7 linked regions of the Xenopus tropicalis genome follow. The protein of the gene in region 4 purifies or fractionates together with the protein of the main gene of each other region. This does not show direct contact. Links are inferred from orthologs where the notes say so. Each region holds a gene or a part of one and is shown on either strand. Other genes may lie near its edges.

What was found.
Region 1: the proteins of smc3 (region 4) and rec8 purify together in Homo sapiens (affinity purification with mass spectrometry; 3 studies listed by BioGRID and IntAct, with this or other methods). This does not show direct contact. The link is inferred for Xenopus tropicalis from reciprocal best matches to the Homo sapiens genes SMC3 and REC8.
Region 2: the proteins of smc3 (region 4) and wapl purify together in Homo sapiens (affinity purification with mass spectrometry; 7 studies listed by BioGRID and IntAct, with this or other methods). This does not show direct contact. The link is inferred for Xenopus tropicalis from reciprocal best matches to the Homo sapiens genes SMC3 and WAPL.
Region 3: the proteins of smc3 (region 4) and usp13 purify together in Homo sapiens (affinity purification with mass spectrometry; 4 studies listed by BioGRID and IntAct, with this or other methods). This does not show direct contact. The link is inferred for Xenopus tropicalis from reciprocal best matches to the Homo sapiens genes SMC3 and USP13.
Region 5: the proteins of smc3 (region 4) and nipbl purify together in Homo sapiens (affinity purification with western blotting; 4 studies listed by BioGRID, with this or other methods). This does not show direct contact. The link is inferred for Xenopus tropicalis from reciprocal best matches to the Homo sapiens genes SMC3 and NIPBL.
Region 6: the proteins of smc3 (region 4) and cdca5 purify together in Homo sapiens (affinity purification with mass spectrometry; 7 studies listed by BioGRID and IntAct, counting the BioPlex papers as one, with this or other methods). This does not show direct contact. The link is inferred for Xenopus tropicalis from reciprocal best matches to the Homo sapiens genes SMC3 and CDCA5.
Region 7: the proteins of smc3 (region 4) and pds5b purify together in Homo sapiens (co-immunoprecipitation; 7 studies listed by BioGRID and IntAct, with this or other methods). This does not show direct contact. The link is inferred for Xenopus tropicalis from reciprocal best matches to the Homo sapiens genes SMC3 and PDS5B.

Annotation. Positions count from the first base shown.
Region 1 is NC_030677.2:139,340,347-139,345,200, forward strand, and holds the start of rec8 (meiotic recombination protein REC8 homolog), read right to left. Parts: upstream 3,282-4,854; 5' UTR 3,210-3,281; intron 1,835-3,209; 5' UTR 1,672-1,834; coding exon 1,616-1,671; intron 527-1,615; coding exon 458-526; intron 1-457. UniProt on the Homo sapiens protein: Required during meiosis for separation of sister chromatids and homologous chromosomes.
Region 2 is NC_030683.2:49,072,941-49,077,045, forward strand, and holds part of wapl (wings apart-like protein homolog), read right to left. Parts: intron 4,025-4,105; 5' UTR 4,003-4,024; coding exon 3,501-4,002; intron 1-3,500. UniProt on the Homo sapiens protein: Regulator of sister chromatid cohesion in mitosis which negatively regulates cohesin association with chromatin. Involved in both sister chromatid cohesion during interphase and sister-chromatid resolution during early stages of mitosis.
Region 3 is NC_030681.2:108,744,620-108,749,183, forward strand, and holds the start of usp13 (ubiquitin carboxyl-terminal hydrolase 13), read right to left. Parts: upstream 3,306-4,564; 5' UTR 2,883-3,305; coding exon 2,772-2,882; intron 1-2,771. UniProt on the Homo sapiens protein: Deubiquitinase that mediates deubiquitination of target proteins such as BECN1, MITF, SKP2 and USP10 and is involved in various processes such as autophagy, endoplasmic reticulum-associated degradation (ERAD), cell cycle progression or DNA damage response.
Region 4 is NC_030683.2:2,842,207-2,846,311, forward strand, and holds part of smc3 (structural maintenance of chromosomes protein 3), read right to left. Parts: coding exon 4,094-4,105; intron 3,543-4,093; coding exon 3,378-3,542; intron 1-3,377. UniProt on the Homo sapiens protein: Central component of cohesin, a complex required for chromosome cohesion during the cell cycle. The cohesin complex may form a large proteinaceous ring within which sister chromatids can be trapped.
Region 5 is NC_030677.2:197,901,664-197,905,768, reverse strand, and holds part of nipbl (nipped-B-like protein), read left to right. Parts: coding exon 1-21; intron 22-463; coding exon 464-624; intron 625-1,196; coding exon 1,197-1,290; intron 1,291-2,439; coding exon 2,440-3,057; intron 3,058-4,105. UniProt on the Homo sapiens protein: Plays an important role in the loading of the cohesin complex on to DNA. Forms a heterodimeric complex (also known as cohesin loading complex) with MAU2/SCC4 which mediates the loading of the cohesin complex onto chromatin.
Region 6 is NC_030680.2:33,589,240-33,594,065, forward strand, and holds the start of cdca5 (sororin), read right to left. Parts: upstream 3,310-4,826; 5' UTR 2,941-3,309; coding exon 2,889-2,940; intron 1,608-2,888; coding exon 1,552-1,607; intron 1,113-1,551; coding exon 1,050-1,112; intron 105-1,049; coding exon 66-104; intron 1-65. UniProt on the Homo sapiens protein: Regulator of sister chromatid cohesion in mitosis stabilizing cohesin complex association with chromatin. May antagonize the action of WAPL which stimulates cohesin dissociation from chromatin.
Region 7 is NC_030678.2:153,095,860-153,099,964, forward strand, and holds part of pds5b (sister chromatid cohesion protein PDS5 homolog B), read right to left. Parts: intron 3,688-4,105; coding exon 3,561-3,687; intron 2,372-3,560; coding exon 2,291-2,371; intron 575-2,290; coding exon 434-574; intron 1-433. UniProt on the Homo sapiens protein: Regulator of sister chromatid cohesion in mitosis which may stabilize cohesin complex association with chromatin. May couple sister chromatid cohesion during mitosis to DNA replication.

The sequences.
Region 1 (4,854 bases), on a different chromosome or scaffold from region 4:
ATAGCAATAGTCAGTGCAGACCTTGCTTTGCACCTAGCCCCAGATTAAAAATCCAGCACAAGGTACAGATTACAGCACTGTGATACTGTTAGAATATACTGTTAGAATAAAGCCCTGTATTTATCATTTGTAATAAGGAACCAGTGAATACAGGACATCTTAACTCCTTGTCCCCTAAGTGTTCCCGCCTGCATACAGAGTGAAGCAAAATGCTTTGCATTCTGTTTTAGGAGCACCACAATAGGCTTTGCTTTATGGTGCAAGAGGTGAGGTATCACGCAAAGTTTAAACATAACAGGGAGTTTGGCACCCATGTTTTATTTTATTTTTCATAAATGAGTCCAAATGAATGCAACAGAGAGGCAGTAAACCAAAACATGTTGGGGCAGGGAATTACTGAGAGAAATTAGGAATAAAAACACTTTAAACAGGTAGAAATGTGTGTGCATTTACATACCACGTGTTGATGACATTCACTTTTAAGTATTCTCGTTTCAAAATTTTAGTGCCTTTGGTAGCAGCCAACCTGTGAAATACACATAACCTTCAAAATTATTAGAAAAGCCTTTGCCTGATACATACAAGTTATGCCCAGGTCAGCATTATATGTTGTCAAGATGCTGCCAATTTGGCATGGGCAGTACTAATATCAACACACAACAATAATTTCACATATTTCTGATGCTTCTAAACAGATAAGATCCTAAAATACTCTCTTACCTCAACTGTTTAAATGTGGACTTTTACATTAAAAGCTTTATTACATTAAAAGCAGTCACAATTTTTCAAGTTATGCTAAGAAATCCACTGGTTTTCCACACAATACATTGTTATTAGGTGGCTTTGTGTGTTTAGCAAAATGAACTTTGAGATAATGTGATGCTACAATAAATTATTCCCTGAATTACAGCAATTGCTGGCTATTAATTATATGTTAAACTACAAATAACCCTTGTTGCTTGTCTTGTCACTGAGCTATGTATTATCTTTTTATTTTAACCAAAAAGAGATGAACCCAAGTGCTTTCCATGAAGATATTTACAACCACCAGAAGTTGTTTGCAATGTACCATTTCAATATACCCCTTCTAGTTTAAGGAAACATTATGAAGTGCTATTCAAGTGTTACTGAAAGATACTTGGTTTTAGATGTAGACACCAACAAATAATTCAGTGTTTTACCTAAAAAATTGATCTTTAAGTGTCTGTATAAAAACAACCAGTAAGGTAACTTCAAAACCCTTTATCTATAATACATATTTATGTCTAAACACCTTGTCAATAACAAAGAAAAAACACAGTGGCTACCAAACAGCCAATCACAGTCCTTATTTGTCCCCCAAACGAACTTTATTCATGCTTGTGTGGCTCACTAACACTTTTAACAACTGAGTGTGGCTCACTGGTAAAATGGTTTGGGATCCCTGACGTACGTCTAACCCAGCAGTACCCAGAATGTACATAAAAGGAGAGATCTTAGCATGTTTACTGCTGTTGAATCTGCTGTTGAATTATGTAGTGCTATATATTTACATTAATAAGTATTAATTTGGCTGTGTTATGCTTTCTGTCCTCAGTGCATAGACTTTGACTCTTTCATTTGCAAATGTACTTACCATATAGTGGCAAAGCATCCTGTGTGGCGCTGCAACACGTTTGGATAATAAAACATGTCAACAAAATGCTGCTGCTATTTTTGCACCCTTCTTAATTTTTCTTCTACTCGTTTTCTCCACCAACTCTTCAGATGTTTGTGTCCCCTGGAAAGTTGTCACTTTTTCCTTTTTTCATGCCAGTTATCCACTGATATCCTTTCTCGCTCAATTGCCTAATCTCTACACAATTAATACAAAATGTAAAATATTTGCTGCTCATTAGAACCCAACAGTTACCTGTTACATACATGACTACTACATTACCTTCCTTACTACATCCATTTTACGGAGGTTAAAAAAAAGATACATTTTCCTAAAGTCACCAGATAAAATGATACTTAATTCAAAAATGGGTTCCTCTAAAAAGTATCATTTTCTCTGGCAACTTTACTTACACGTTGTAATACTTTTCCAATCAAAAATGTGCTGAAGTTTCTAGTGGAAAAATGCTCACACAAACTTCTGATCGTACCAATTGAAGCCATAGGAGAAATAAACAATGGTAATGAGCTTCTCTGCAAGTGGAGAAAGGCTATGTGCCATTACCCCAGTTTTCTAAGCAGTCTGCTAATTTTTTTCTAATACCAAGTGCATAACCGTATATTTATATGCAATGAATTTTATATCCCACTTAGCCGCCCAGATCACTAGGTTGTCAAGATCCACCATATATAGTTTCATGCATGGTATGTGTTTTTTAAATTGAACTATGTTACTGTGAGTTATGAACATGTGTCAAGCACAAAAAAAAATCCAGCATGTTGCATGTAAAAAAATGCAATTACATTTGCATCTGCCTACATCTCAAATGCAGAAAAGGTCCATTGTGTGGGAACCCTCAGTTCTGTTAAAGGTCAATATACACTGTGTGCCATAGAATAAGACAAGACTATGTATAATAATATAACCCATCATGATATACAGTGGCAAGTTTAGTGGTGTAAGGCCCAATTCTAAATGGCCTAATGCCTGCAGATTTTCTGCTGTTCACAAACTATAACTCCCACATCCTCCAGTATGTAAAGCTAGGCTGGGTGATGTTACTTGCAGCAAATGATATATTGCTAAATTTCCTAAATCTAGAGATTATCTGAACTGTCTCTAAGACCAACAGCTGCATGTTACTGGCATGAGCAGAAGTGCCACCGCATGTACCAGTGAATGGGGCGCAAGTGAGAACATGAATCTATAGTGCATTGTGCATAGCAGGATCACACAAGTGCGATTAAAAAAGGATTTGACTCGATTTGACTATATAGTGATTTCATATGCAGTTTACAATGCCTCATTAGTAAATATGTCTATCGATCTAAATACCTCAGTATTTTTTTAAACTGAGATAATCAAGCAAAAAGTGAAACAAAACATAAAATACAAATTCACCTCAACGGAGGAACCTAAAAAGTTAGGTAAATTAAGGAATAGATATTGTTCACACATTTTGTGGTTAGCTTCTATAATGAAACTAGTCACAAAATGTGTGATTATCTATTTAGCTCCAAGAGCGCACATAACTGCGCCATTTACTTGATAAAATATAGCGGTGTTTTCTCACCTTTATTTTTCCCACAGCGCTGCTCTCGGATCGCGTTCCCATTTATTGAGTACATGCAATTTAGATTTCGCCCCTTCACTTGTCATAACAAGCAGTATTTTCATGGCACCAATGGTACATAAGAACGTCATTAGCGGCGGGGTTTAGCCGGTCACTCACCGCCACTTGCAGCCCAGATCTTCGGACGAATCATCTGTTAATGTACGAGTGACGTGTAGAAGCATTGCCCACTAGTAAAGCAGTTGCCAGGTCCCTAGAGCTGACAGAAGTGCTAAACTTTTCCCGCGCTTTGCTGGCGATGTACAGCATATCACTAGTATGAGCTATCGAAGGCTGCTTGCTTATCAGAATGTCAGTGCTCATTTTTTCAGCATACGTCTTAATAATATCAGTCAACTAGTTGTGAACGTTTTGACTTTGGTCCCTAACTGAACTGGGGCTGCCAGGTAGAATAAAGTTTACAGAGCCTGCCAATTTGCTGTTTAGATACTGCTGAAATCCCTTGGAGATTTAGGGCAACAAATAACCCCCAAATGTTATTGGAACTGCAGCAAATGACTGATACACAAATATTTTTTTCCTATACCTGTAAAGCTGTGTGGTGCTGACCAAAGGGTGGACCTGGAACCTGAACTGAAAAATCCCCACAACCACTGTTTTATGACTTGGGGAGAAGGTCAACCAACTTAAAGAGGGTCTAAACTCGAAAAAATTAACTTGCTGTAAACATACTCTTTACTTAAGCATTTTTGCAATTTATAGTTTTTTTTGGTTTCTGAAATATTAGCACTTCGGTTTTCTGAAGTCGCCCAAAGTTTCCTTGCGAGGCAACTTCGGGCGACCAAAGCTATGCGTATACCATTCTTGCCGGTAGGTTGGCATGTTGGGGAGATTAGTTGCCCGCAATAGTGAAGATTTATCACCTGCGATTAATCTCCCCATGTGCCACTGCCCTAAGAGTAAATACAGGGCTACTAGTAGCACCTACTTGTAACGGCTACTACACTCCCATAAAATACCTTGCCATAGACAATACTAAGAATTTTCTCTGATGAAACTCATGTAGAGACAGTTATCATAAAATGATCAGCATTGTCTATTTTAGTAGCTGTGACAAGTAGCTGCTTCTAGTAGCTCCAAGTGTCTTTACCCTTAGGGCTCATACACACACATGCATTTTGTTCTTTGTTCCTTTGTGTGGCTTCTTTATGTATTCTACCAAAAGTGAACTTGTCAGTAAATGCAGCCCATCATTTTCCTTAGTGTCTATAGAAAACTGCCAAATGCAGCATGCAGTTATTTAATAAGAACAAAAGACATGGTAACAGAAGAATATTGAAATTTACTTCTTTTTAAAATCACATACAGATACATGGTACATATATGAAATATAATTCAATATACTATAAACTAGTTACATTTTTAGAAATAAAGTGTTTGCGCCTTCACAATTTATATTTAATGCTACTGAAAATTGGGGATCCACTAAATTTAATATATTGAGATTTTGCAAAATACTGAATCCTCTACGAAAGAATTGGCCAGATACAATTGAATCTAAACTCTCATTTTGACTAAGCATTTAGCCAAAACGCAAGTATTTAGACAAATCGGGAACCCTGTAAAAAGTGCTAAAATTCAGACT
Region 2 (4,105 bases), about 46 Mb from region 4:
AAGACAGCTTTTCACTCTAATGCGCATGCGCCGGTCGTGGGGTCCCGCAAAATGAAGCAGGAAGAGGGAAGTGCTCGCTGCTACCCCGGGCTGGTGCTGTTCTCTCCGTACAGGGGCACCAGCCCGGGGTACAAGGTAAGCGATTAAGTCACTTGGGGGTGCCTAACATTTTGGCACCCCCAAATGACTTAGCCTTTCCTTCTCCTTTAACATAACTGACTCAAAACTGGCACTTTGCTGCATCTTACCTTCTATATGTGCTACAACAGAAGACAAATCATTATACATTATGCATGCCCACAGAAATATTTGATGCTGCATATAATTACCTAAACTATGTGGCTTAAGGAGATTATAAAATACGAATGATGCATTTTAATTTTTTTTTACAAATGTCACTTTGTATGTATAGACAGCCCAAAACCTGTAACATTGTGGGAACCAACAGATATATAATTCTGAAAAATTTTATCCTGAAGATTTAATACTGCATGAAGATAGTGAAAGTTTTAATTTTCCTATATAATGCAAGTAATAATAAAAACATATCTCCAAATTAAAATATTAAGAAAAAAAAAGTATGTTTGGTACAAGCCTGATTTACTGAGCTCATGCTAAAAAGGGTATATACCGCCCCTTTCAGCAATGTTCTAATATACAAGTAAAACATTTTTTTCAGTGATTGTTTATTTATAAATATAAATGCAATGTTAAAGCAATATCTACTGGCCTGTGTATATTCTCAAAACTGCCAGTTCTGACTCATGAAACAATGTAGCAGAAGGCAATGGATTAACTAAATTGGAATTACATCACATTTTTAATTTATGTATAATGAAAAGCTGCTTAGAATTAAATTAAACTCATTTGAGCTAAAAGCTACCAGCTTACAATTAGAGCAATGATAGTGACAAATGGTTTTCTAATGAATGTTTTCTTGCTTAAAGAAAAAAAAAAAGCAGGAAACTTCGGGCGACTTCAGAAAACACATAGGCCTTTCCACTAGCAATTCAGTTTATTGCTGGTGGAAAGGAATATCAGGGAGATTAGTCACAGAAGGAGATTTAACCATGGGCAATTAAACTCTCCTTGTGTCACTGTCACTGCCTTACACTTTAGAGTGTAAAAAGTCATGGCTTTTTTACTATAACATTTTTCTGTACTGTTGGGATTTTGGAGATAATAAAGATACAGTGTACAAAATGTTTTGTAGATACGCTATATCAGTAGTACAATGCCTGTATACAGACTGTGAGAGACTAGCATCAACGTTTTTTTCATATAATAGCATGCCAAGTTTTACATAAAAATCATAAAATCTTCTGTTAATCATTGCAATTGTATAATAGTCCTTATAAATGCTGGTTTATAATTTTCTTTAAAAATAACTCCAATCTTACATTTTTTTGTGTGAAATGCAAATCTGAACTGACCAAAAACTCTATAAATAATCACTCACCAACTAGTCTTTTTATATAGTAATCTAAGTATCCAAACACTTATAACACATATAAATTAACACTTTGACTACTGAAAAGATTCAGAGAGGGAAGTAGAATAAAGAACAAGAAAAAAAAAATGCTAGATTGATGTTGAGACTCCTTAAAGTACATGTAAACCCCCCACACAAAAATGTAGTCAGTATACAGCCTCTTAGAAATCTATAAATACCAGCCACTCCGTTTGCTTGAAGGTCATTAGTAAGGCTACATCATCCCTTTAATCACTTGGGATTCCTTCTCCTCCTGTAACTTACTCGCCCCCTCCTTTAGGAATTGACTTTAGCTCTTGGCTTACTGATCATGCTCAGTTCTTCTCATCTCAGGTTTCCAAACACACCCTCAAGTCTAGCAGCCAATGAAGAGATGGCACTGTGGGTTTACATAGATACTGAGCTGTTCTCACCTAACCTTCTGTCCTTAACAATACAGTGCTCAGTCCAAGCAGGACTTTTTTTTTTTAAATTAAGTTCTGCCTTTGTAATACTGCTTTCTTCATTGCATAAACTTCACTGAACGTCACTGAAGAGCAAATTTGAGGACTTACATACAGATTCATACAAGGCCACACAAAACCACAGGGCCACATGGCGACTATGGCAAGCATACTTGGATGTATGGAAAACAAATTTATCTAATGCTGTTACGAGGGTTGACTCTGCCGGACCGCGTCCGTAAAACAATCCTAAGGGCTAAGGAACTATTTAACGTTGGAACAAATGTTAGATAGGTTTTGAATATAATACAAATTGTGTTTTTTGATGTTTTTCTTTCTCTCTCCTATCAGACAATCTTCCGTCTAGAACCCCCTCTTCCCATCATCCCCCGACATAATTACCCAATCCAACAATTATAAGCAGCCCTGACAACGGACAGCTTTCCTATGTTTTCTCTTTTGTTTTTTCTTTCCTTTCTGCATTTTTATGTAAAAGGCGGTAGGAGCTACAAAAAGCTTCTCAAATCTACCTCACTATGCCTATTACGAATGTTATTTTCTTTGAAAAGTTACTTATTGTCATATTCAGTGCAATGTTGGATTGAATATAAAACCTAATAAAAATTAAAAAAAAAAAAAGTCACTGAAGAAAATGGCTGCTGAGTGAAACCTGTAATTTGTTGTAGTAAAATGCGATGGTGCTGGCAAATGGAGGGGATATATGCAGTATAAATGATGTCATTTGGGTGGGGTACATGTGCCCAACTTATATACAATGTAGGAAAATGTAGCCTTTAAATATTTTTACTAAGGTTGAATGCTTCTTACGACACATTGGCAAAATGATTTTCCTATGCAATGATGCATTCTTCTCATACATAATTAAAAAACCACAGAAAAAGACTAATTGCAAATTGTCACTGAAAATAATTTTCTACATTTTACTACCATTTAAGTGGTATACCTATATAGATAAACTGAACCAAAATGACTAGCAGAAATTTCCATGTACAATTTTTCTTTGATTTAGTTTTCTTTCATATTTACATAGTTAAGTTGGGTTAAAGTAAAAAAAAAAAGCCAAAAGTCCATCAAGTTCAACCCTTTCAAGCAAACCCTAGCACACGAACACACATAGACCCAATACTGACCTATCTATACACTCACATACATAAACTATATATACCAACATCATTGTAGAATTTTAGTATCGCAATAGCCTTGGATATTATGCTTGTTCAAGAAATCATCCAAATCACTTAAACTTAATTTTATTTACTAACTATGAAAATTCAAACTGATAAACACAAAACACATTTTGTGTTCGCAGGGAGACTGCTTATAGCCCTTTTGTTACTTTCCCAAGAAAATCTTTATGCTAAAACTAAGGCACAGTTCTTACTTAACATATAAAATCTTAAATACAAGCTATATATTATCAGTGTGAATTGCAGGCTGAAATGGATTTCTTACATTTGTGTTTACTTTAAAATTTGCACTTCTAATAAACCAATACCATTACACTTGAAAGATTAAGGTCATCCCAGCAAAATCCTTAGAATTACCTGTAATGTTTTTTTTCTTAGGAGAACTGTGTTTTCTCTTCCCATCCTCTATTTTATTTGTATTCTTTTCTCTGAGTCCATGCAATGCACTATCAAAAGAAATGAATTTGCATGACACTGTGGTTTCTGCAGTGATTGGCTGATTAGCTTTATTATTTTCTTCTATTATGGATGTAAAGTTGTCTGAACTTGCAAGATGCTCCAAAGGCTGTTGAATGCTGTTCTTGGGCTGTGGGACATTTTTTGATGATACTGGGATTGAATCCTCATCACTATCAAATCCAAATGGATCTTCTGTGAGATCATCATCAACTTTGGGTTTCTTAGGAGTATCTTTAACATCCTGCTTATGGTTTGGTCTCTTCTGCCCAAGCTTTGCCATAAAGGTGGTCTCTCCCCATTTTGTACTAAGAGTGGTTCGTTTATTAGAAAATACTTCATCAAACTTGGAGTTGCTATTTCCAGCTTTGCGGCTATATGTTTTCCCAAATCTTGATGTCATTTTGAAGCCTGTTTCATATTCTCTGCAAAAGAGAAAGTTAATTTTTATTAAACAGAAAAAAAACAAAATGCAAAATAAAGTTAGAGACCTGTAATTCGGAATA
Region 3 (4,564 bases), on a different chromosome or scaffold from region 4:
GTATATTTTATAAAAATTGTAGTAGTCCTTTAAAAATATAAACTATTAACATTCACTATACAGGTATAGGACCGATTATTCAGAATGCTCGGGACCAAGGGTATTCTGGATAAGGGGTCTTTCTGTAATTTGGATCCCTTACGTCTACTAAAAAAACTATAAAACATTAATTAAACCCAATAGGACTGTTTTGCATCCAATAGGGGTTAATTATATCTTAGTTGGGATCAAATAGAAGGTCCTGTTTTATTATTACAGAGAAAAAGAAAATACGTTTTAAAAATCTGAATTATTTAATTAAAATGGAGTCTATGGAAGACAGGCTTTCCGTAATTTGGAGCTTTCTGGATAATGGGTTTCTGGATAACGAATTCCATACATGTACTATTCCTCATAAGTGTAACTAGCTAAACAACATACATATACTCCAGTGAAAAAAAAATCCAATTCCAAATTACCATATAAGTTGGTGGAAAAGAGTGTTATCACGCAGCACTCCGGCTTGGGGATATTCTTGTTTAATGTGCTCACAACTATTTGATCTTCATAATGCCCCATTAAATTAAATGGAACATAAGCACTATTACATCCAAAAGCTATACATCTGCCCTTCAGCAGAAAATCAGATTTAAAAGAAAAGAGGAGATAAAGAATGGCTGCAGGTTATCTATCAGTGTTTCCTGTAGCAAAATAGGTATATCAAACATTGTCACATGCTAGAGGAAAGAAATTGAATAATTACTCTAGCCAATGGTATTTTGCAATTTACAAATTCTTTAATAATGTACTGGAATGTTTAGAGAACCCCCGATATTTACCAGTATTATGGCTCAAAGGTTGTACAGACCGAGCTGTTTTACTGGGAGGATGAACTGCTGCCCGACACTTGAGACTTTAAGTGTGGGGATAAAAATAACTGTTCCAGCATATGTGATAAACGCCAGACAGCTGAGTCATTTTACATGAAGATTAAAGATTTTTAGATGGCAAAAAATGAAAAAGAAAAGCAAAATAACATGTGTGACCAAAACAAGCTTTATAACAAGTCTGTGAAATGTTGTGTGTGCTTTCTAAATAATCTCAACAGCCTACAAACATTTTGATCTACAAATTCCAGTAACAGACCACTATCCTGCTTGTTGTGAAAACTAGAACTTCAGTGCCTAACTAATGCATACTTTCTGGTTTTCATGCTTTGGAGAATAACCCCCATATGCAGGGGATGAGGCAGTAGTGCAGTGCACAATCCTGGGCGTGCATAAGTGCTGCTCCATGTAATGTAAGGTTACCAGATCAAATTAAAAGTCAGGAATACTGCAGATTTCATCCAAATAGTGTTTTCCTTCTATCTGAATAATTTGGTAACATTACTGTGAGAGGGAAAACAAATGCCCTGTAATACAAGCAGCATAAAACTGAACTGTTTGGGGTATATTGGCCATTTAAAGGTTTTGGTGCTTCTTAGGCAATTTCTGCCAGTCAGTTCTATGCCTGCTTTAGGGCAATAGCATATCTGTGTGATGACTATTATACTCTTGTAAAGTAGTTTAGCTAATTTAACACACATTTAATTGTATTAAGAGCGCGGACAAGGATAATACTTATTTACTTCTTGTAAAGTTGTTTAACAGTGACTTGTCACCCACACATAAGCACTAAAACGTGTCCCATTAAGTATAGACTGCATATTTTTACATAGGTCACTAAAGAAAGCAGTGACAGGAAAAACATCCCATGTGCCATTGGCGTAAGCCTGCTACTTTGGTTTGGTAGCATTTATTAACAGGCTATGTTGTGTTGTTACAATGATTCAAATGTGAAATGATTGAAAGCCAAGCTTTAATAAGTCCACAAATAAAATGCATTGTTAATTTTAATGGCACTTTGTAGGGGATACACATTGCAAGAAACAAAAACAAATATGTAACAAATAAGACCCTCCAAACAAGCAGGGCTAGGAAATAACTAATTCATTGATGTTCAGCCTTGAATCCTCTAGCTGCAAGGCCCAGAACCCCGAACAGCCTTTGGAATGTGGTGTAACCTAGGTTTTGTACTAGGATTAGCCAATTCCTGGACCGGTTCAAGATTCTCCCCAGTTCTAGCACTTTTTACAGGATTTGGATTCAGCCAAACTGAATATGAACCCCTAAAGTCATGTGACTTTGGACAATTAAAGGCAACAATGATATTTGTAATTGTTGCAAAACACAACATCATGGATGAAAAACACAAGCAACCCCTAAAATGTAAAGCAATGTCAAAGCTAACAATATACAATTATCCCAAAGCACAACAATTATGGATAACCAAATAACAACTCTTCCAAACTATAACTACCAAAGCTGCTGGCACTTCCAGTACAACATACTCTGGATCCCCACAAGCCATGGATGGTATGAACAGAAAAGCAGGAACTACAGAAGAACTACACTACCCAGTGGGCTGGCTCCCTTCCCCTAACTAGCCACATTATTAGCCAATGTAGTAGCTTTGGGTCCAGCTCTTCCTACACCACAGAGGCTGACAGAGGGCTAGAATCAGATGCAGTGTCACTGTGGGAAGGAAGAGCAGGTACCACACGGCCATGTATCGTACTGCAATTGTATCAGAACACGGGAAAGGAGCGAATAACCCGGCTGGATTTGTTGCAGGGAGGGGGAAGCCAATCGCAGCGGCTGCGCATCTCCCTTCACGTGTTGTTGATCTCAGCTAAAGCCAAACAAGATGCATGCTGTGGGGAGGGGGAAAGACAAACGAGCTTCACTCACAGGGGAGTCATAAGAGAAGGCGCACTCCGTCTTGTAGACCCTGTCCCCTGACTTGGGTACCCTGATGGTGGGCATGTAAGGGACCAGCAGCTCTCCCAGGTCTTCAGCCATCTTCCCATTCCTGCTGCTCCCTAACAGTGCTGGGACTGTGCGCCCGGCTGCGGCCCAGGCATGGGAGGGCAGGACAGATGATGCTATTTTAATCCAATAGCAAGTCAGCCCAGCGCTGGGTCCTGCCGCTGCTCGGAGGGGAGGGGAGGTAGTTCGCTATTTATAGCAGACCAACTTTTATTTCTTTCTGCTGCTGGGCTACTGTGCCTCACAGCCTGTCCGACATTACCCCGGCACAGCAAGAGATCCCCCGCGTCATATTTCCTATTATATAGCGCTCAACTCAGCAACGGTAAAGGACCTAGCGCAGTAATAGTCATCCATGAGGGAGAAAAGTTGAATATCAGCGATCTAGGCTTTCTATACTGCCAGTACTACCCTCATACACTGCCCATGTGATTTCCAATCTGCGCATTTGGCCTCCCGAGAATTGCGCCGCTAGGGGGCAGCCTGACACGCCCACCTCCTGTGTTAAGTGACAAGGCGCACCTTATGTTGCTTAAAGCGTTGGGTTCACATGGTTGTTTGGCCAGTTTCTTGGAACTTTGCAGTTGATTTTCTTAATAGTACTTGAGTCTAGTTATAAAACTTTAACCCGTCCCATTTCTTCCTAATATTAAACAGTTTCTGCATTCTGTCACAGGGTAGGGCGTGCAGCGGAACAAACGCTGCAGAAGTCATTGGCAAATGCGTCAAAGGCTCCAAACATCGTTGAACAGAACTTTGCTGTTGCTCCTCTGCATAAAAATACAACTACAGTACTTTGAAGAAAGTGCAAATGATGCAGAAAAATGAAACTGCCCTTAAAGGAGTTTATGATTTGTTTTTTTAATGTTTTTCCTGCAAATCTCAGATTGTGCTGGAAGTAGCATTTCAAGAGCCTTGAAGGGCCATAACATGGACAGCCCTAATTTATAATTAAATGTCTGAAATATTGTCTTCTGCTGCTGCCTGTGTCGCCACTAAATATAAAGGAAAGAATTAGCAACGGAAAGTCCATATGTTCTGGAAGATTACCCCAATATTGTTCCACTTGACAAACCATAAATTTTGGTTTAGCCATTTTTAACCATGATTTGTGGTTTAGCACAATGGATGGGATAATCACCCTTGAGAATCTGCAAGTGCTGTACAGTCAATTTTTTTCTTTATTTATGTGAACGGGATGTTGCCATACACCCAGAGGCCACTAACAATTTCTTTAAGGTGATACTGGCAGGAAAAAAATACTTTTTAAAATATTAAAAGGGGTCTTCATCTTTAAGTTAACTTTCAGTATGATGGAGAGAAATATTTGGAGACAGGAGGTCTTTTTTAATTAATCATAGATTTTTAGTTATTTAAATATTTCTTTAGCAGCTCTCCAGTTTGGAGTTTCAGCAGCTATCTGGTTGTTAGGGTCCAAATTAGCTTAGCAACCAGGGAGTGGTTTGAATGAGTGACTGCTATATGACCTAAATCAAAAATCAATTTATGAAAATTAACAATAACGATGAAACTGTAGCCTCACAGAACAATAGGTTTTTGGCTGATGGGGTCAGTGACCCCCATTTTGAAAGCTGCAATGAGATAGAAGACAACAGCAAATAATTCAAAAACTATAATAAATAAATAAAAATCAATTGAAAATTTGCTTAGAATTGGCTATTCTAGCACAACCCTCACGCCCTTACACTCCTAGA
Region 4 (4,105 bases):
GCCGTTGCGTTGTCGGATTGTACCCGAACCGCTCGGTTGTGGAGTATCGTTGACCAGCGTTCTAGTGCTAATGCGATCGCTCGTAGCTCCAGTACATTGATGGGTAGGAGACTCTTCTCTCTGGACCAGGTCCCCTGAAGAGTGAGGTTCTGGTAGACTGCCCCCCAACCTCTGAGGCTGGCATCTGTTGTCACTACCTCCCAGGTAGTGGTTGCCCAACTTTTCCCTTGACGGAGGTTGTCCTCTGTTCTCCACCAGAGGAGGCTGTCTCTGGTCGCCTGTGAAATGGGGATTATTTGTCGCAAGTCTTGGTGGTTTCTGTTCCAATATTGCAGAAAGTTGTGTTGCAGGTGCCTGAGGTGGAATCTGGCAAAGGGGACGGCTTCCAGGGTTGATATCATGAGGCCCAGGAGGCGCAAGCAGTCCTCTGCAGAGATTCTCTGCTTGGTATAGAATGACTGGGTTGTAAATATCAACGTGTTGATCTTGTCTTGGGGTAGGTACACCCTCTGCATCTTGGAGTTGAACCGAAGGCCCAGGAATGTGATTGTCTGGCTCGGTGAGAGTGAACTTTTGCGGTAGTTGATTAAACAGCTGTGTTGTGTCAGTACGCGGAGACACAAGTTTGTGTCCATAGTTGCTTGTGCTGCTGTGGGGGCCTTGATCAGTAGGTCGTCCAAGTACGGTATGACGTGTACTCCCAATGATCTTAGGTAAGCCACGATAGGGGTAAGGACTTTGGACTATGTACTGCGCCACGCGTTTTCACCAAAGGGTAATGCTGTAAATTGATAATGAGAATTCTTGACTGCAAATCTGAGGAATATTCTGGATTGTGGGGAACTAGGTATGTGCAGATAACCGTCTTGCAGGTCTATGGGAGGTCATGAGAATTCCTGGTTCCATGGCCGCAGTCACTGATCTGACGGACTCCATCCTGAACCTTTGATTTGAAACCATTGGATTTAGGGGCTTTAGGTTGAGGACCGGTCTGAAGGTGCCCTCTTTTTTCCGTACTAGGAATAGGTTGGAGTAAAAGCCTTTGAATTTGTGAGGTTCTGGAACCTCCTCCACTACCCCTGTTAGTAGCAGTGTGGATACTGCCTCTTGTAGGAGTTGTTCTCTTTGAGGTGTTGTGGAGGATGGAAGGAACCTTCCCACCGGAAGATGTGGGGAGAAGGGTATTCTGTACCCTTGCCGAATGATGGATAGTACCCAAGTGTCTGTTACATGTGTCTCCCATGTCCCAATAAATTGTTGAAGTCTGCCCCCCATGTTTTGTGCCCTTGTTTGCAGGGCCGAGTCAGGGTGAGGCGGGCTTGCTGCCGCTAGGCTTCTTGGTGCCATGTGCTTGTTGTTGCCATTGGGGTCTACCTTGTCTGGCAGTCTGGTCAGTCGGGGAGTTTCTGAAATTTTGACAAAAGGAACGAAAGGGTCTACTTTGTGTCTTCCAAGAACAGATTCCATTTGGCGGTCTAGTGGGTCCTTAAATGCAGCCTCTTCCGCTGGTAAGGCTGTTTGTCTGGATAGGCGGGCAACCGCTGAATCCACCTTTGGGGTCTTGTCCCATTTCTTTTGGTATTTCTCGGGTACAGGATAAGTTTTAAAGAATCTTTGTGTGAGAGCGATACGCCGCTCTGGTTGATTCCACTCTGCCTCAATGGCTTGAGTGAGGGAGTTGAATACTGGGAATGCGAATTTAGATCTCTTTTGTACACCCAATAATTTGTCTGCCTTGGAGCGGGTCACTGTCTCATCTTTAATCTCTAATGTCTGCATCATTTCTCGCAGTAATCTCTGATATTTCTGGTGTAGCGGAAGCTGATCCCTCTTCCTCAGAGTCTGACTCAGGTTGTGGATGAGAGGGAATAGACAAGTCTGAACTGTGACTAGAGGTCTCCTCTGCCTCAGTATCTGAGGCTAAGCCCTCTTCTGATTCTGATGATAGTGTAACAGTCGCCTTGCGCTTTTTATTAATCCAGGGTTTGCTGCGCCCCCCTTGGTTAGGTGTGGGTTGAACAGTGTTCATTATCCACTGTAAAAACTCTCCAAACTGAGCTGGCACCTGGTTGGATGTGTGGGCCTGGGAATTTGTATCCCATGGCATAGGTACGGGGGTATCTGCTGTAGGTGGTTGTATTGGTGGGGGGAGTGCCTGGTGCTGATATTGGCTCTTGTGAAGGCTGAGCCTGTGTTACTTGTGGAGAAAGCATTGGAGGGTCTGGCAAAGTTGTGGGCTCTGAGGCAGGCTTACAGTCAGAGCAATAATTTCTCCCAGTCTTTCTGAGGGAGTGTTTACACACTTTGCACTTGGGTGCCTTATCAGGCTTCTTCTGCTTTTTGGCAGATTGTACCACCTCTCTGAGGTCCTTAAGTGAGTCAGACCTTTCCATTATTGTTATTAATGCAGACCGGAGTGTACTCACAACTAGTAGATTCAGATAATCTATTGCTGTATCGCTGTGTACTGTAGCTGGAGTAGAATGAAACTATACTGAATAGTTGTGCAGATGCACGCCTGTGACGTCAGAGCGCCACTTCCTTTGGCGCGAAACAGAGTAGCCTAGCAACCAGGACGCGCGCGGTTGTGGAAGCGATGCCGCATATACTGGGGGGCCCTTCTTAAGCGTGCCTGCTGCACAAGGTAAAGGTCCTCCTTAGAGATGGGCGCTGTGCGCGCCCCACTGCCGTTGATAAGCCTGCTCCTAGGCACCAAGTATACAGCTCCTTGCTGTATTCCACTCTGCCACGTATGTGTGCTGGTTCAAGGATAGTGCAGCTCTGCGTGCCCTGGGAATAGTATGTGCCAAGCCAACTGTGGGGCAGCTCTGCGTGCCCTGGTTAAGCTGTATATCAAGCCAGTACCGGGCAGCTCTGCGTGCCTTGGTCATGATATGTTCCAATAAACTCTGGGCAGCTCTGCGTGCACTGGTAATGATGTGTGTGTCAGGCCAGTTTTTTGGCAGCTCTGCGTGCCCTGTGCCTGTATAATCCTGGATCCAATAGGACAGCTCTGCGTGTCCTTTGTATTGCCCATGAATGCTTGATGTGAAGAAATAAAATAAAAATAATAGAGAAGAGAAAAAAAAAAAATGGTAATGATAGAATCTGTCCTACACCTCCGAGGCAGGACAAAGAACTAAGGGAAGAAGGTGGAGACGTGCCTTATATACAGTGGGAGGGACCAGGAGCCACTAAGCTTCAATTCTCTGTCCTGCCTCCAGAGGTGATTCAAGACAAAACCCTAACATCTGCACTGACAGGAGGGCCGCTAGAGAAACAGGCTGCTCTCTGCTTTTCTGTACGGCACCACATAGTATTCTTTAGCAAGTATGGCTGCACAGGTGGTTTCCAGATACACGCGAGTTATTACTTACACGTTGTTCACTGTTCCCAGCAAGTTCATCCTGCAAATCCTTAGCTTTAAGTTCTAACTTGGTCCTTTGTTTAATTTGCTCCTGCCTCTCGGAACTGAGCTGTTCTTTCTCCTCTTTCATTGCAGAGATCTTCGATTTAAATTCACGAACTTGCCGTTCTATATCCTATTAATATAAAAGTATATATAAAACCGGCTATGTAATTAAAAAAAACATTATTGAAAGCACACAGCCCACTTACTAAGTGACAGTCTACTCTTGATGACTCAGGATTATATTAAATCAGAATTAAATCACAATACTTTTTCTATTTGTAAATTTTCTATAAAGTAACATTAACTCTTATAAATCTGTACTGAAATGACTGCAGAGATAACTGAACCCCAAGAATAGGCAGGCATTCCTATTCATATGTTGCATAAGCGCCCATAATTCATCCAGCAGTTCAGTTGAAGAGATGCTGGGAGTTCTGGTCTTGGGATACCAGGGCTGCTGATGCAGGCCAATCTCTGCTATATGCTTTAACCATGGTTTCCATTCAGTTTATTTTCTAGGGTCAAAGTCTCATAATAAAACAGTACAACACTATTAGTTTTGCTAAGAATGGCTTCTGATTGTAGCATCCCTTGGAGCCTTTTTTTTTTTTTTAGTTAAGAAGACCACTGGTGTTAGAGCTAGGAGGTGATTGCTATACAGTCAATAATTTTTAGGATTACCTCCATTTTGTC
Region 5 (4,105 bases), on a different chromosome or scaffold from region 4:
AACATCAACCATTGCAACAAGGTAAAGAAGATTTTTATGTAAAAGAAGTGTTGGACCATCTTGGGTTAAAGACTTATGTGGGTAACACAACTTTTTCTTGCTCAGCATGTTGCTGCTGCTCTTGGCCTTCTTCAAAATACTTTCAGCCTGTTTTTGGGAAACTTTTTTTTTTTTTTTTTTACTATAACTGTACACAGACATGGCATATCTGTCTTTCATATGCAAGAGTGTCATTAGTCATACAATTTTATTATATTTTCAATATGCTGCGACAGAGGAGAGTAGTTACTAGATTTGTTCAGAATTTATTACATTTCGAAGACCCTATTGGGGTAAATGAAAACTTGTTGGCAGCTCTGATATGCCTCCTCTTGCATTGCTTTGTTGGTGCCCAAAGATTTTTGCAAATTTTGTCTTCTTTACAAAAGCAAGTCTAATTGTTTTTTCTTTTCTGCCTTTATAGCTTCTGTTTCAAGCCCTATAGTTGCTGGGGGGCTTAGGAATCTACATGAAAATAAAGTTTCTGGGCAGCTGTCAGGCAGCTCTGCAAACCATCATGCAGATAATTCCAGGCATGGCGCTACTGAGGACTATCTCCAGATGGTGCACAGGCTGGGTGGTGAGGTATGTTTGTATGTGTATACTAATGGTGTATACCTGGCATTTGACTTCGTTCGGCTACGTATATGTCAAAAACCCTGTCATGAATGTTTTCAAGGATGTTTTGTTTCTTGGAATTAAGATGTTCCCAAGTTGTGGAGTTCTGCTTCATAATGTTTAGAATTTAAACATTAAATGGATACATATTTCTAGCACTTAACTTTTTTTGTCCTCTCTCCTGTGGTAGCACTTAATGTAAGAGAATTATAATGATATATGCCACCTATTTAAGATAATCCTGAAGGAAAGTAAAAATTGCCAAGAAAAGTGCTTAGAAAAATACTCTAAGCCATACCCCACTTTTAAAAATAGGGAATATATTCACACTGTTAAAACTGTTAATCTTTACACTATTTCACACACAAACCCAATTCAGTCACAAACACTTTGTTCGTTTTTTCTTGTTCCGCTCAGGAAGTTTTAAAAATTCTTGAACACAAGCAACAAAATCACTTACTCCTCCATTACTTATGAACCGAATAGCTATTTTGCAATGAACAGTTATTTTACAGTGTGTTTCTTTTTAAATTTTTTAGGACAGTGATTCTTCAATAAGAAATGCTGCTTCCTTTTCTCTCCGCTCTCCGCAGTCTGTGTGCTCTCCTGCTGGAAGTGAAGGGACGCCAAAAGGTAAAGTTGAGATTTGTCTTAGCTGTCAATAAAAGGCACCTATCACTACAGCGCTAGGCTACCCACACCCAGAGTGAGCTCCTGGGACAGGAAGCCATGCTGTGGCACAGATGTGCATAACTCGCTTGTTATGCACGTTTGTTTGAAGGTATAAATCCAATAAATAATTTCAATCTAATATTTGGACATTTTAAAGGGGTTGCTTACCTTCCAAACACACTTTCACCAGAAATAATGTTTTTTTTTTTGCAACTAATTTTAGTTAAGCAGTAGAAAACAAAGTTAAAACTTGTTTCTCCCTCTTGTGTCCGTTGCATAATCCGGGTGCAGACTGAACTGTCACACTCTATTAGATCAGTTGATACATTTCTCAGCAGCAGCTGCAGAGCATTAGCAACTGTTGTATCTTTTATAACAACTTAAATTTATGAAACTTTAGTATTCTTTTCAGCTGGGCCACAGATGATAAATGTATCAATTAATGTGTCGGATTAGAACAGTTTACAGAGGGGGGGCTAAAGTATTGTTTGTTTTTTATTTTGTTATTTTTAATTAAAAATGGAAAGCAACTGAAGAAAAGTGTGTGTTTGATGTACTATCTGAAAACAACTGAACAGCAGCAGCATCTGTATTTATGGGAATCAAGTAGTCATAGTTTCTGAAACATTAAAAAGCTCATATCTCATTTGCATTAAAACAATGTTATTCTCAGTTTTGCTGCTGTTCAAATGATTTTTACTTTTTAGATGATTTTGCTTGCAAGCTTCTTTACACTCAGTTAATGGAGAAACTCTGTTAAATTACTCCAAACGGTGACATTCAAAATATTCAAAAGTCACCAAGGCTGCCCAGGTAGTTCTCTAGTAAATCCGTGGCATCCATGCTGTTGATCCACTCATCAGAATCATTGACTTAACTGCAGAGAATGAACAGATATTGAGCACTCTGCAGTATTAGAGAATAATGGCTGAAACCACAGTATAACATATAAAAAGATAGCATTTTAGAGAAGCCTTTATGTGAAGGGTATGATGCTGGTTAGGTCCATTGACAGGTAGGTTAGGTTTGTTATGACTGATACACATCTAGAGCTATACACATTAACCTTGAAAAACATTCTTAATTTTATTCCTCTTTTTTTTCATGCAGGATCAAGGCCATTAATACTACAGACACAGCCTCCTCCATATTCCTCTCCCAGGGATGCTCCTCCTGACATTCTCTTGGACTCCCCAGATCGAAAGCAGAGGCGACCAAAAAAGTTAAAGATAAGCAAAGATGAGAAGGAACAGACTGAGAAGTCTGCAATGTATGATATTATTAGTTCTCCTTCTAAAGACTCTACCAAGCTCACTTTAAGACTAACACGTGTGAGATCTTCTGAAATGGACCAGCAAGGAGATATGCTCTCCACTATGGAAAACAGTAACATGTCAGAGGGAGATAGCACTTTTAATGTGCAGTTCCCAGGGAATGCTTCAAAAACACCGGTCACTCCACAGGACTTAAGTCGCCCTTTGAATGCTGCTGCTTGTTTTCAGGAGCAAACTGAATTCTTACAGGTGCAGCAAGTGCCTGTTTTACAACCCAACATGTCAGCAGCTGCAAAACCGCCTCAACCTCTTGTGGCTCAATCACAGCCCCAACAAACAGGAAGCATAACGCCATATGACGAAGTGGAACTGGACGCTCTTGCTGAAATTGAGAGAATAGAGCGGGAATCTGCTATTGAGAGGGAACGCTTTTCTAAAGAAGTTCAGGACAAAGGTAATATTCCACCTGTTAAGTACAGTCAAAGCCAACTAATACTTCTGGTAGAGGTTGTTTTCAAGCCAAAAACATTCATTGTACAAATTCTGTGAGCCAAAAACCACTTGCATCTGCAGTGACAGGTGGTTTTAATTTGCTCAATGGGGATAGTGCTTGGGTATTCAACTAGGGCTAATATTCATAAGCATTTTTCGTGGATGGTATTGGATTGACAAAGAATTTGCGACAAATTGCATATAGCCACCTTCTTCAAATATAATGAGATTGATAAAATTGGATGCATAAACTACATGTTTATTTTTTCCATCCAACTCAACTGTCCGATGCGAATGCGGCATGCTGTGTCTGCATCCGCGGCAATCGCTATATTGTTGCATCTAGTCTGAGCGGCTTTTTTTGGAGCGCTTTTGGAGTTTAGCCCTTAGCTTTAGGTTTCCTGCAGATAAGAGCTTTGTCTTTTAAATAGTTGTTGTTTCCCTTGTCTCAAATTTTGTGGGCTAAACTGCCATGTAGCTTGGTTTGTCCAAATTTGCCAGCTGAGATTTTGTTATGGTTCATAACAATTTACTGTTTTTGTTGGGGGGGTGGGGTTCTGTATATGCAGTTCAGTTTTTAAGGGTTAAGGGCTCTGGTACACGGGGAGATTAGTCGCCCGCGGCAAAACTCCCTGCTCGCGGGCGACTAATCTCCCCGAGTTGCCTTCCCCCTGCCATCCCACCGGCGAACATGTAAGTCGCCGGCGGGATGGCAGACGCGGCGGGGCGATTTCGGGAAATCGCCGAAAAAGCCTCGCAAGTCTTTTTCGGCGATTTGCGCGAAATCGCGCCGCCGCGTCTGCCATCCCGCCGGCGACTTACATGTTCGCCGGTGGGATGGCAGGGGGAAGGCAACTCGGGGAGATTAGTCGCCCGCGAGCAGGGAGTTTTGCCGCGGGCGACTAATCTCCCCGTGTACCAGAGCCCTTAGAGACGCAGAGCTACTAGTAGCAGCTACTTGTCGTGGCTACTAAAATTGACAATGCTGATCGTTTACTGATAATTGCCTC
Region 6 (4,826 bases), on a different chromosome or scaffold from region 4:
TTTTTTAGCATCACTTAAATGCTGGAAATCATGAGATTTTTGTTACTTAAATTGTCAAGACCTACCTTAGGTGTGGACTGAGATCCTGTATTGGCAATAGCTGCCTAAAAAGACAAATAGGAATGATACAGAAAATAAGAAAAAAATTCTGGAATGCACCAGTTTTCTTTGATGAAATTCAGTTTTGCTGTTGATTAGAAATTGGTACAACCCAAATAATGCTTACAAAGGCTAAGATTCTGCCATGTGAATGTGAGGATTAAATACAGCAGTCTGTCTGTACTCTGCTAATGTCAGGTTCAGGCCTTGGGTGCTGAAACCAGTTATAGTAGCAACATTGAGTCTGAAATGTTAGAAAAAATGCTTCTGATTCAGTTCAGGTAAGTACAAATTAAATAAAAGTAGTGTGAGAGCAAGTTTTAAAAAACATATGCTGGAATCTGAGCTGGTAGCTATGTTTTGGAAACAGAGGACAAAAATACATCAGTGAGCAATTTGGAAATACACCAATGTAAATCAGCATTGCCTAATCATACACTAAACATGCAATACATAATCATATATTATAGATTGGCACAAGTTAAATCTTATCTTACTTCTGTTCCTATATAATTAATAATCAAGAATTCTGATAATTCTAGAAAAATGCACAACAATTTGGAAAAATTGTAGCATCTTACTGATAAAAACATACAAAGAATTTTTACACTATGAACTGAAGACAACAAAGATTTACAGTGCTGAACAATGGGAGAATGACACTATTGCAGCAGGGAATGTAAGGATTTACAAAAAAGGTAATGCTCTTCCCAGAGAAATAATTATATTGGCACCAGGAAAAAATTACCATTAAATGAAGCCTAGGTGCCTATATTTCCCCACCTGGTGTTGTAGTGAGTCACAAAGTAGCTATATTATTCCCCCTGCTTCACTCAGCACTAATGTGAGCGGAACTAGCTACTTCCTTTTATATATGCATTAGTCCCCAATATTATTATATCAGAAGAAGGGTAAAGCTTTCTTTTTTCATAACACGACAGTATATTTACCAGTGTTTTTCTGGGCATTATTTTCTTGACCGTAATTGAACGTTTCATGATAGGATCTGGGATCTGAAAAATACAAAATTTAAAATAACTTAAAAGGGGTCATTCACCTTTAATTTACTTTCAGTATGGTGTAGACAGTATATTATCAGATGATTTCCAAATGGCCTTCATTTTTTGTGGATTTGGAATTTAGGTTATCTGATTGCTAGGGTCCAATGTACCACAGCTGCAAGACAGTGGTTTAAATAATAGACTGGAAGGTAAAAGGGACTGGGGCAAGTTGCAATAAAATTGTAGATTCGGAGATCAATAGTCTTTTGGGTGCCGGGTCTCTGAATCTTTTTAAATGCTGGAAATGGGTAGAGGAATGCAAATTATAACAACTATGGAAAGTGAAGATCAACTTAAAAGAACAGGACAAGATTGCTTCAAGGTGGATTTTCCCTTTACTAGAGTGTTGAATGGAGCTGGCTAATAGAGGGATGGAAAGTAAAGAACATACCGGACTGTCTGAAGCAGATTTTCTTTGGGATCTTCTTTTAGGTGGAGAGACGATACCTGCAAATGAAAAGGGTGGCAAAAAATGAGATACAAGTGTTAAAATAATATACAACAAATCAAAACATCCCCAGACATACTATGGCAGAGAACATGAGGGTAAAAATCACAAGAGTTTTGATCATTACAGGTCCTGAAAGGAAGGAACACCACTGCCAACATCAGCATCCCATTCACATTTGCCATAATGTCAATATCACTCGGGAAATCTGTTTTCCCAAACTATATCAGCTTACTAGTACAAAAAGTGTTTTCCCATTCAAGTAAATGCCAAGCAGTACTCAAAAGGGGAGGGGGTATTCAGTGGAACATAACCAATTATTGTAATAAGTCCACTTGTGAATATTATTATAAAAAAAAAAAAAAACACATAGGCAGATATTTTAATCATGTGAAACATTCTGCAATAATGCAAAAAAAACACATTCAACATTATTTGGAATACAGTAGAAATATGCAGCGCTGTTTCTAATTGCCATGGTATAAAAATTGTCTGGAGGATAATTCGAATGCCACACAGTCCAAAAATTGTATGAAACTTTGTTTTGGATGAATATATTGGTGCGACATGATCATATTGGTGTGTGTGGCAAGCTTAATAAACATTCTTGCATAAAAGTAAAATATTCCTATGTCTGGAAAATAGGATAGTGTATATATTATGTACTCTAATACTTATCTTTATATCAATAATAAGCAAACTGAAAACTTTTAATGACATGTCCCTTTGTACAATTAATGTATTATCTGCTATAATATTTATAAATTATTATTTGATCTCTCATATTTGGATGACCGGTGGCAGGTTTCGATTGCATGTAACAAGGATGCCTCAGATCCAGGATTTCGTTTGGGACTCGTGAATCTGAGCAGCTTTTTGCAAGAGCCAGACGAACCCTTAGCAGACAGCTAAATCAGATCCAAACCTTTGTCATAAGGATTAAAAGTGCCTGAAAGACAATGTTTTGGTCACAGACTGTGTTCAGATCTAAATGTGAATATTAGTGACCCTAATAAACTGGACCCTTTATATAAGATGTAGCCAATAATGCGTCCAATTTCAAAACATCTGTAAGTTTTGCTGTCTTCAGTTTCCTTCCACACTCCAAGAACATCCAGGCAGGTTATATGGCTTCAGGTAAAGCTGGCCTGACTGTGTGTGAATATTACAGGCTCCTTAGATTGCAAAGCTCCCAGGAATATGTCAGCGCTAAATAATATGGCATAAGAATATAACTTGCTACGTTGTTAGCCAAATGCCCCTCATACCCCAGGTCTCACCTACTCCTCTGCGGGACTCTGCACCGCTACTTCTCTTCTTGCGCTCCGACATGGCGCTTGGTGTCGATAGCCTTTCCGTCTGTAAAACTGTCCTTTAGTTATTATAGACAAAGTCCCCAGTGGTGCTAGCACCTTCTAACATAATCTAAAGCCGCGGCTCACTAAGGTTTACCACCGACCAGAGGCTGCTGCATGGTTACACACTAGCCTATAAGCCATACACATCGCTTGGATCCTTATAGTCCTTTATGTAATAGGTACAATTCTACATACACGAACTGCGCGGCCTTAGTAACCCGCACAAATAAGTAGCCTCCTCCTACTACTCCTGAATTGTATAAACTATCAGAAGCCGACTTTAAACTCCGCCAGTGTCACTAAATAGGAGCCTTTCAAATATCCCGCGCCCGCTCTGTAAGCCGGAAGTGGAAGTGACGTTCGCTTGTGCTGCTAGAACCACTACCCTGCGCGTCGAGGAAATGACGTCACAACGGGGCGACGCGTACGCTGCTGTCACTGTCACCCGGAAGAGACGTGGCAGAGAAGAGTGGGAAAGGGTTGTCTAAGGAAAAAGATAGTAAACCAGCTGTGCCGGATGGAAACAGGAGGGGAGAATAGTGAATGAAGAGTGCTGGCAAGAGGGAGAGCATTGGGGCGTGAGGCCGCTGTGTGTATATAGCGCTAGGCAGGTAGGTGCATTGCTATGTGTAGGATGAGACTACGAATAGTATAACTATACAGATTCTGCGCTACCACTTCAGGTTTCCATCCACGTCGGGCTGTCACGGGATTCAAGGCTTTGAAATCTCAACAGAAACATAGTGGTATAATATACAGAGACAAGTGTGTGTACTTTGTTCTGCAGCTCGCAGGCTTCGACTTTTGTGGTTGTTAGGGCTTAGTTACTGAAGCAACCAGACAGTTGTTTGAAAATATGAATGGAAGATGAGTATATGATGCTCTGAACAAAAAAAAAAAGGATTTAGTAAGGTTTTTCTCCACCATTTTGCCTTATTCATTCTTCTGTACATGCTTGAGTGTCAGTCAGTGTCAGGGACACATAGCGTTTGTGTTGCCATCTGGCCTGTAAAACTGAAGCTTGGTGCCAATTTTATTAATAGGGAAAAAAATAAAAATACGGGCTGGGATTTTACTGCCCTGACCAGTACAATTGATGATAGATGCCAATGTAAAGTATAAAAAAGCCAGTATTTTTTTCCAGAAAAGATGGTTAACCTAGTGACAGACATGTAAAATAGCAGCACTGTGGCCTGTTGGTTATTTCTCTGGGAGGGTGCAGTATTTTCCTTAAAAAAGCACCAGCCCCCAGGAAAAACTTACTGATTGGATTCATCAGAGAGGTATCTAACACATTGGCACCTCCAATAAATCCACCCGTCCTTATCCTTTATAGGTAAGCTTTCCTCTTCATCAGTGAAGCAGTGAGGTTGTGACCACATATTACAAAGAAAAATAACATTCTGTTCATTTACCCGTATCTTTATATTATAGTACAATTCCTGCAAATAACTACTAAAAATGCCCATGCAACTTGGAACAAAGATAGAACATATGTTTCAGTATAGTTAAACTAGCCTAATGTGTCAAAGTCAGGAGGACTTGGCTTAGCAAATACACACAAGTGTCTTCTTCAACAACCAATGTCTTTAAAGATTTTTTTTATTGCATTGGCCATATAGGAAGTTGCCCAGGGTAAAACAGCTCTCTCAGAGGTTAATAGAAAATTAACAGGTAGCATTATATACAAATTAGTGTCCCCTTGGAAATTTGTCCCTGTATGGGCACAAATACTTCTGAAATTTGGTTTTATCTTTTATGATATTAAGGCCACCGGGAATAATTTGGATACATGTGTCTGCTTCTATTCAGTGTACTCTATGCAATATGAACCATGAAAAACATACAGAAGTTAATTTG
Region 7 (4,105 bases), on a different chromosome or scaffold from region 4:
AACAATGTGCAAACAATATATTATATATATATACATACATACATACATACATACACACACATATACAGCACATCAATAAGAAGCAAATAAGAGTTTTTAGAAGAAAAGGGGGATGGCAGAAATAAATATACAGTAGTCTACAGTTTTATACAGGTCATGGAACTCCTAGGTGAAGTCTAACATCCTCATTTTCTGTACCACCAGACCACTATATATTAATGCTCCTACATATTAGCTACAAAAGGGAATATTCATAGGCTAGACTCTCCTGATTTCTTCTAGGTGGGCCAAAAACACCACGTTTAACACTGGCGCAGGGGCTAGACAATTATGCTTATCAGTAATATCTGGGCTAACAAATTCACATTTTTCAATGACACAGAAAGGTTACTTTAATGGTAGGGTTTCTTTAATATTAAAGCATCTTACTTACCTTGAGCTTGAACTCCAACTGAGGTAAAACGGAAAGAAGCAAATGACTATCAATGTTGTAGAGCTCCAGTATCAGATCAAAGACGTGCTCTGACAAATCACTGATGGAGGTTTTACCAAGCATCAAAACTTGGTTAAAAAACTGCAAATGCAAAAAAAGTGTAAAATTAGTATAAAATGGACCGATTTACTTCACCCCTTTGAATGGCGGTCCCCATGGCTACACAGCAGCCTATTTATATAAACTATAGTAGGGTTTCTGTAGCAAACACACCTGTTTTTACAAGTGCAGGGCAACATTACATTATATTTTAATTACTTTAAAACACTTTCATATTTTGGTGTTACGGTTCCAATTTTTATTTAAATCAATGGGAACAATTACAAAAGACAAAGGTTGTAAATGTTAGTTTTCTACCTGTACCCATTTCTATGCCAATTTTTATATAATCTGATTTATTGCTAAACTTTTAATTTGTGTATTCATTCACTATGAAATACAGGTATATCCAACCAGGTAATAAAGATGTCTCAGAGTGCAAATTCTGCTGTTAAAATATATGATGGAACGAGCACTATCCATGTACTGTGACGGTCAGTCATTGGTTAATTGGGCATGAATTTCATATGTCAATGCACCATGAACCAGGCCATTGGGAACTGGAAGATGACAAACCAAAGCTTATCTTCACTGGGCTTTCAGTCCAAACAAATTTAACAACAGGCTTTCAGCTCAACAGCTTTTTAAAGGACAGTGTCAGCAACCCTAAAGGCAGTGGCTAACAAGATTTGTGGCCAGCTGATAATCTGCAATACCTGCGGATGTCAAATCGCTACAAATCTCAACAAACCTGAAAATACCTCTCTTCACTAACATTCTGATCATTGCATGTAAAATGCTTTTCATGTGGCGATCTGGCTAAAAGGGGTTGTTCACCTTCAGATTTTAGTATGACATGTACAATGATATTTTGACAACAACAACAACAACTTGCAATTGGTTTCCATTTCAGCAGCTATACGGTTGTTAGTATGTTGTTTACCTTAGCAACCAGGCAGTGGTTTAAATGAGAGACTGGCATATGACTAGGAGAGGGACTTATAAAAATAAAAGCAATAAAAAGTAACAATAATAATAAAATTATAAGCTCACAGAGTAATAGTTTTTTTTGGCTGCCGGGGTCAGTGACCCCCATTTGAAAGCTGGAAAGATGTAGAAGACAGAACTAATACAAAAATTATACAAAATAAATAAGAAAGACCAATTAAAAAGTTGCTAGGAATAGAACATTCTATAACTTACTAAAAGTTAACATAAAGGTGAATCAGGTGTTTTAACATGGCAATCAGAATGTTAGCAAAGAGGTATGCTTAAGATTTTTCACCCACAGTAGCAAAGATTTCCCCCTCTGCCATGGCGCTAATTGTTTATGCATATTCTGGATCCATTTTAGGGCAGTGGTAGACAGAGAGATTAGTTGCCCACGTCAAATCGCCCTTGTTTCGGGCGACTAATCTCCCCGATATGCCATTCCACCGGCTTGAATGTAGATCGTGGGTGGGATGGCATATGCAGCACTGTGATTTCCCAAAATCGCGTCGCTGCATATGCCATCCCACCGGCGATTTACATTCAATCCAGTGGGATGTCATATTGGGGAGATTAGTTGCTGACTCCCAGTTGAGCCAAAACCTGTTATCAGAAGTCTAAACATAAAAATATCTCAGAAAATGAAGGTAAAGAGTACAAGGGTACAGAAAAGCACCATTAGTATATTTGCATCAATTCATTTCATTGGTTTTCCCTTTAAGAAAAATAACAGTATTAAAAATAATTACTTTTTAAGTTGAAACTTACATTTGTAATATATGGTTCAATAGCTTGAGCGGTTCTCTTAAGCAGAGCTTTTGCCAGGTCATAAGCTTGTTTGTTTAAATTCTGAAACCAAAAACACACATTATTTGGTTGGTATCATTCTAGAACCACAGGCCAATACCTGAAACCCAAACAATTTACCACAGATAATGTAAAAAGTGGAAAATGTCCTTATTATTACTGTATATCATACACTATATACATACACGCACACATGCATTTAAATACATAAACACACATTTACAATAGAGAACTGTACATTCAGTTGGAGGGGTGAGGGACATAAAAGGTGATTTGTTGTATTAGCTTTTCATCCAACCGTTCGGCCAGGAAGTTACCAGAAGTGCTTTTTATTTTCTTGTTTAGTGCCAGAAACAATAGATATTTTCTTACTAACACAATAGCCAAAAAGCATGTTATGTACATGCCCCATTTATCAAGCTCATGTTGAAAACCGGAGTATACTGTCCATTTAAGGGTGTAAAGACATAGAGTTGCTAGAAGCAGCTACTTGTCATGGCTACTGTAAAAGACAATGCGCATCATTTTCAGCATCAGTATGTATAACTGTGAATGAGGGAATATGGATGAGTTAGGTAGCCCTGTGGTACATCACAAGAGAAAGAACCAACAGGCAGTAAATAAGACATCCGAGTGTTAAAAAATAATACAATTAACAATTTATCATCTTGTGGGAAAATGTTTCACTTAATTTCGGATGCCTTTTTTGTAACCAATGAGGAACAATACAAGTTTTCAAATTCTTTTAAATCTGCTTACGAAAACATAAAAACCACAACATATTAATTGATATTTGCCTTCTGTGTAGCACAAAGCAACTATTTTGCAATATACAGGAGAAAGGTGCAGCTGGGACAAGCAGAAGAAAGGCACTGGCGAAAGCAGTATAACTCTACTGGGGATACATGTAAAGCGGAAGCCAGGGGATGGTCATAAAATGTGAAACGGTAATAACATTAGTTGTTTAAAATGCAAACAACGTTTGTTTCATACTAAAAAAAACAGTAAAAAATATTTAGTAGATGTATTTTCGAAAACAGTTGCCTATTCCAGACAGAACACAAATATCAATTAAAATATTTTGCCTTTAGAATCCTTAGTTTAAGTTTTACAACTCAACGCATGAGTTTTTCTGAGGGTGCAAAAACAGTTCAAAGAACAGTAGAATATATATAATCTATATACCAGTTTTATTATTAGCAATACACCCATAATATTGAGAAATATATACCTTGTGTGCAGGAACCAAGTTGACAAGGACACTATCGAGCAGCTCCTGAGAAACGGTATCGCCTTCACAAACTATAGAGCTCATTAAATCCACCATATGCATATGAACTTTCTGATTGTGTCCATTACTAAAAATCAAGGAAATTGGCAAAGTTACTTTTTCAATTAAAAATGTCTATGCAGTCTCCCTTATCCTTATTAAAAAGCAACAGTTTTACTGAGTCAATGATCTGTAATGGAACATACAAATGCCTTTTTGACATCTGTACCATTTAATTCATAAACCTCATGACGTTTATCTGTTAGAATAGCGCAAGTTGTGCTGTGCATAAGCATTATACAGAACAGCACTTGCAGGTAGGAAATATAATGTTATTCTCCTGAAGGACATAAAGATGGAGACAACTTTAGTAAGACAAATTGCAGAACAGCTCCTATCTATACTTTTTAGGGGAAAAGGATGTCTTGCCTGCCTAAATCACAATATCTAATAATAAGTAAAAAACTTTTTCTCTCTCTAAAGTTACTCAATAGTACCCAGAATAA